2 linked regions of the Callithrix jacchus genome follow. Each later gene encodes a partner of the first gene's protein in a complex. Links are inferred from orthologs where the notes say so. Each region holds a gene or a part of one and is shown in the gene's direction. Other genes may lie near its edges.

Evidence for each region.
Region 2: the proteins of CFAP36 (region 1) and ARL3 are in contact, whole or in part, in a crystal structure (PDB 4ZI3), measured with the Mus musculus proteins. The link is inferred for Callithrix jacchus from reciprocal best matches to the Homo sapiens genes CFAP36 and ARL3. Residues at the interface, in NP_080016.1 of Mus musculus: Glu44, Glu45, Ser46, Lys47, Leu48, Thr51, Glu52, Lys58, Val61, Glu62, Leu65, Glu76, Phe79, Gln80, Cys83, Thr84, Ala88, Lys89, Leu97, Val100, Leu101, Ala103, Glu104, Asp105, Phe106, Thr107, Ile108; in NP_062692.1 of Mus musculus: Leu3, Leu4, Ile6, Leu7, Arg8, Lys9, Leu10, Lys11, Ser12, Arg19, Lys35, Glu40, Pro47, Thr48, Gln49, Gly50, Phe51, Asn52, Ile53, Lys54, Trp66, Ile74, Tyr77, Ser80, Tyr81.

The regions. Positions count from the first base shown.
Region 1 is NC_133515.1:58,640,121-58,642,758, reverse strand, and holds the end of CFAP36 (cilia- and flagella-associated protein 36), read left to right. Parts: intron 1-717; coding exon of another isoform or gene 718-871; intron 872-988; coding exon 989-1,125; intron 1,126-1,272; coding exon 1,273-1,422; intron 1,423-1,950; coding exon 1,951-2,070; 3' UTR 2,071-2,138; downstream 2,139-2,638. Other genes in the region: PPP4R3B (serine/threonine-protein phosphatase 4 regulatory subunit 3B), read right to left, coding at 718-871. UniProt on the Homo sapiens protein: May act as an effector for ARL3.
Region 2 is NC_133513.1:95,689,738-95,693,237, reverse strand, and holds part of ARL3 (ADP-ribosylation factor-like protein 3), read left to right. Parts: intron 1-2,679; coding exon 2,680-2,796; intron 2,797-3,500. UniProt on the Homo sapiens protein: Small GTP-binding protein which cycles between an inactive GDP-bound and an active GTP-bound form, and the rate of cycling is regulated by guanine nucleotide exchange factors (GEF) and GTPase-activating proteins (GAP).

The DNA.
Region 1 (2,638 bases):
CAACCTCTCTGGCACTATAGTCAGTCCAGTCACTACTAGAGCAGTGGTCTGTTGTCAAGTTTCTTGCATGGACAAAATTCTGTTTTCTCTTTTAGTATGTATGCTGTCAAGGTTTCTTTCTTTCTTTAACTGTAAGGATCAACCAGGTGTGGCAAAAATTTTTATCCTTAGGGACATGTGTGCCATGTTTTCTTATCATGCTTTTAGATCTTAGCATCATTTTAATGTAAGTCATTGCTTGTCTCAATGTGCTTTCTTTCATAGCCCATGTACTTACACTGAAAAGGTTTTATCTTTTTAAAAACAATCACCTTATAATAAAATTTGGCCCAGAGGAGCAATGAGAATGTTAACCCTCTCTCTTGGTTGGCACAGTCACCAAATGGCTGGAAAGCATTTCATGCTCATGTTTATATGTGCTTCCAAGTTCTACTTGCTTTAGAAATCTGTACATTTTCACAATGCATTGGCAGGTTTATAGTTACCTTCAATTTATAAACAAAAATTATTGACATTGGTGACTTTTATTCTCGCAGTACAAAAAATGACAGCTTTACATTAATTGTTCTGAAAATATAGGGTGACTTTTTACTTGCAAGCAAAAGTTTGGAAACCAATTACATTGTTAGTAAGGGATTAGTGTACTGCCCATTTGGCTTATGTGGCAATCTTGTATTATAGTATAGTTTATACTAAATCTTTAGACAAGGATTTTACCTTTTTGTAGCTGTAATACTCTACACACAGCAAGAGCGTGGTACTTGTTGAGATACAGGTGAGAAACTGTAGTTCCAAGCTTCTTAAGGATAGAGATGATGTTGATTGTTCTTGCCCAGTGGCTGGCACAATATAGACACTGAATATATGTTGACTGAGTGAATATGAGGAGAAACAAGTAGTACTAACGTTAGCTCATTTTGGTAAACCTAGCCTAATACTTAATATTCTCTTAATATTCTAATTGGTCTTATTTTCTACTTACTGCCAGAAGTTAAAGTGCATTTTGCTAATCAGTCAGTAGAACCTTTGGGAAGAAAGGTGGAAATGTCTGAAACTTCCTCCCTCCCACAAGAAGGCCTAAAGATTCCTGACTTAGAACATGCGAGCATTGAAGGACCAATAGCAGTAAGTAAAAGACATCACTTTTAAGAACTATAAGCAAAGTGACAAGGTACTGGGAAATCAAACTTTGAATTGAATCAGTCAGTGGGCATCTGTGCTACTTACTAAATGGACTTGAATTTAGATAGTTCCTTTTCTTATTTGACCCAGAATTTATCAGCACTTGGAACAGAAGAACTTCGGCAACGAGAACACTATCTCAAGCAGAAGAGAGATAAGTTGATGTCCCTGAGAAAGGATATGAGGACTAAGCAGATACAAAATACGGAGCAGAAGGGAAAACCCACTGGGGAGGTAGAGGTATGGCTAACCTTAGTATGTCAAGATTTGTAAATCTGGTAGTAGAACTCTCAAAATCAGAATATGTGCAAGACAGCCTCTTAATAAATTTTGCTTGCAGACTCATGCATATTAACTACCTCCTAGTGCAGTAGCTGCTAAGTGTTTTCGAGGAAGTGAAATTGTTGTGATAAGGATTTTATGAGACAGAAAATAACAGTGGTGTCATAGTACATTTTTTTTTCTTATGCTGTTTCTTTACTTGCTCTGCTCTGAGTATGTAAGGGTCAGTGGTCTGTTTTACCTGAGCATTCTGAGATGTTTTCTCAAAGAGCAGCATCAGTATCCCAGCCACCATTTCCAACAGGGCTTCTCCAAGAAGAGACTTTATGAGTAAGAAATTTAGGAAACCTAGTCTACGTCTGTCTCTTCTTCCACCCCTAAAAAAAATGCCTCTAACCTTTGTTCATTTGAGGTAGTATATTGGGAATTTTAGACAAATGGCCCTGTTCATGGTGTAGCCAACTTTTTTTTTCCCTTTTTTTTCAGGAAATGACAGAGAAGCCAGAAATGACAGAGAAGCCAGAAATGACAGCAGAGGAGAAGCAAACATTACTAAAGAGGAGATTGCTTGCAGAGAAACTCAAAGAAGAAGTTATTAATAAGTAATCATTAAAAACAGTTTAACAAAATGGAAGTTCAAATTGTCTTAAAAATAAATTTAGTCCTTCCACTGAGACCTTTAGTTTCAAACACTTTTGTAAATGCAAGTATCTTATTATTTTAAACACTTTAGGTAAAGGAAATTGGGAAGGCAGCTACTCATATTGATTACTTTAATACAAATTCCTGGGTGTTTTTCCTTGGAAAGAGAGTATAGAAAGAAACTACTTTGATAGTTCATTCATTCAGACTCGATTACCTACTGTTTGTGCCAGGCATTGTGCTAAGTGCTAAGGATACAGTAGTCAACTGGATTGACAGCGTCACTGCCTTCATGAGGCTAGTAGAAAAGTCTTGAAGACCAAAGTGTTAGAAAGGCAGAGGGTAGAGTGCTATGAGCAGGGCTAACTAAGCCTTTTTAAGCTGAATGGAAGGTTAATTACACAAAGAATAGGTAAGGAAATAACTCAGGTTCTGCAGCAGAAAATAAAGCACATACTGAATAACTGGAGAGGCTTAGCATATGAGATTGGAGATGGGTGGTGTACTGATAGTAGTGCAGGGTCTTGTATGA
Region 2 (3,500 bases), on another chromosome or scaffold:
TAGAAAAAATAATAAATGCTTATTATAGTAAATTTAGAAAGTATAAATAAATAAAATTGAGAAACTAGAAGTCACCTATAATGCCCAGTCAGGCATACCACTGTTCCCATGTAGGAATGTATCAAGTTTTTTCTATGCATATATATGATGGGTATGTTTAAAATAAAAAATAAAAATGGCTCATAGAGGATATATTAGTTTATATCTCATATATGTATAGGTATATACATATATATATACACATATATGTATATACCTATACATATATATATATATATATTTTTAGAGACAGGGTTTCACTCTGTTGGCCAGGCTAAAGTACAGTGGTGCCATCCATAGCTCACTGCAGCCTCAAATTCCTGGGTTCAAGCAATCCTCCCACCTCAGCCTCCTGACTGGCTAGGACTACAGGCAGATGCCACCACACCCAGTTAATTTTTGGGGGGAGAGTAGAGATGGGGTCTCACTACATTGCCCAGGCTGGCCTTGAACTCCTGAGCTCAAGCTGTCCTCCAGCCTCAGCCTCCCAAAATGCTGGGATTATAGGTGTGAGCCACTGAACTTGTTTCATCTTTTTTACTTAGTAAATCATGAATACCTTTCTATGTTATTATATATGTAAATACATATGAAATATGCATCTCTACATGTTTGTGCCCTTTCATTATTATTATTTCCTCAGAATAAATTCCTAGATTTGTTGGGTCTCATGACTTATAGACATTTAAGGCCATTGATACATATGGTCAAATTCCAAGATTTATTTTACTGTTATTTATTTTCTGCTTTATTCCAGAAAGGATTCAGTATTACTGAGTTTCACATTTAATATCATTGTTGAGTGTGGAATTTTTAAATACACCAAAGTAGTTTTGCCAATGAGTTACAATGAAACTGCTTTTTTTTAATAAGCTTAAGCCATTTCCCTTTAAAATTCTTGAGCTTCTAATGTATTCAGTCATTGGCATGTTAGAGAAGCGAGAGTCAGCAGCATCCCCCATTATCCTCCAGAGACTGTGTATCCTCAGTAGAAACTGGGTGGCAGTGTTCCTGTCTAATTGCACTGTGCCTTCTCCTTCTGTGCCACGCAGCAGTGTTGACAGGCTGCCACATGAAACAAATGTTTGTGGAGGCATCTCCAAACCTATCTAAATCCGGTTATTCTGGATGAAATGTCTCTTCTATGGTAGCAAGCTATTGATTGGGTCTTTCAAATCCTGGTTTCCCTATGTAACTTTTGCAAGAAGACTTTTAAAAAAATTCTTCATGAAATACATTCTCTCAGAACCCCAAAGTACTTGTTAATTTGTTTCTTTTCACACTAAACCACCAGCTGGCAATTCTGCCTGTCCCTGATTTGCTCACCTTCCTCAAAGTTTCACCTCAAGTAACTGTCTTAGAAATGAAGACTTCTGGCCAGGTGTGGTGGCTTGCACCTATAACCCCAGTGCTTTGGGAGGCAGGCAGATCACGAGGTCAGGAGTTCGAGAGCAGCCTGGCCAACATGGTGAAACTCCATCTCTACTAAAAACTCAACATATTAGCCACCTGGTGGCAGGTGCCTATAATCCCAGCTACTCAGGAGAAAGGCAGTAGAACCTGGGAGGCGGAGGTTGCAGTGAGCTGAGACTGTGCTGCTGCACTCCAGCCTGGGCAACAGAGCCAGACTGTGTCTCAAAAAAAAAAAAAAAAAAAAAAAAAGACGACTTCCTTTTCAAGTTCATCAGAGTTGCCTATGAAATCACAATTTTAAGTGACCACTTTTTTTTTTTTCTTTTTGAGACGGAGTTTCGCTGTTGTTACCCAGGCTGGAGTGCAATGGCGCGATCTCGGCTCACCGCAACCTCCGCCTCCTGGGTTCAGGCAATTCTCCTGCCTCAGCCTCCTGAGTAGCTGGGATTACAGGCACGCGCCACCATGCCCAGCTAATTTTTTGTATTTTTAGTAGAGATGGGGTTTCACCATGTTGACCAGGATGGTCTCGATCTCTTGACCTCATGATCCACCCGTCTCGGCCTCCCAAAGTGCTGGGATTACAGGCTTGAGCCACCACGCCCAGCAAGTGACCACTTGTTTGTTTCCATCAGTGTCTGTAACCCAGGGCTCCACCTCCCTCCTGGGCTGATATTGGAGTTAGAAATCCAGCCTCCCCCATAGTTCCCTCAGTTCTGCTCTCTTTCCTGATTAATTCCAATAGGAAATTTATTTTGAGTTGCTCTTGAAGAATCTAATCCTTTAGATTTTTAGCTTTTGCCTCTTTAAATTTAGCTTGTGTTCTTTTCTGTTGAGTCTTCAGATTCAGCTTGTTTTTTTGTTAGTTACATGAAATGTCCTGTTAAATTTTATCATCGTGAAGATTCATGGGCATGTGGTGTGTGTTGATTAATTAGAGCTATTCTCATTTAGAGTTATCCTCAGCAATTATATGTCTATATTTGTTTATTGTAGAAAAACATCATGTTAGCCTGACATTATTTACACTGACTCCACAACCTGGATGAAATAAACATGTATAAATATGTTTCTTTATTCTCTGTCACAACAAATCATTTTCAGCCTTACCAGTATCACATATAGCAGAGTATTTTAGAATTAATAAAAAACATAGCTATTAAATGTAACTTTTTCAGAATTACGACCTCAAAGTTTAATAAAACTTGATGTTTTTGCCCGTTTCAGGGTTTCAACATCAAAAGTGTACAATCACAAGGTTTTAAGCTGAATGTATGGGACATTGGTGGACAGAGGAAAATCAGACCATACTGGAGGAATTATTTTGAAAATACCGATATTCTTGTAAGTACTCCTTCTGACACGGTAACTCATAGTATTTTCTGCCATGTGTTAGAAACATGGACACTGTAATGTTCTTTCTTGGCAGTAATTCCATAGCCATAATATTAATCACTGTGAATTTAGCAGGGATAGGAGAAGACTGCAGATTATAAAGAAGAAATGAAGAAACATCTTTGTATAACTTATATAAAATGTTTTGGTGTGGGATGGTGACTCACGCCTGTAATCCTAGCACTTTGGGAGGCCAAGCTGGGTGGATCACGAGGTCAGGAGTTGAAGACCAGCCTGGCCCAGATGGTGAAACCCCCATCTGTACTAAAAACACAAAAATTAGCTGGGCATGGTGGCGGGCACCTGTAATCCCTGCTACTTGGGAGGCTGAGGCAAGAGAATTGCTTGAACTTGGGAGGCAGAGGTTGCAGTGAACCAAGATCATGCCACTGCACTCCAGCCTGGGAGACAGAGCAAGACTACGTCTCAAAAAAAAAGGAAAAAGAAGAAAAAAAAGATGTTTTGCTATCGCTCAGTAACAATGTTGTACCCACACCCATCTTGGCAAAATAAAGTGTTTACTAATTGCCATAGTGATTTGAATAGCAGAAGGGAAGTCGGAAGATCATGCCACTGACTGTCACCCCTAGGAAGACAGTGAATCAAGTGTATACCAAAGAGAACAACCAAAATAGTGAAAATACTGGAAACCA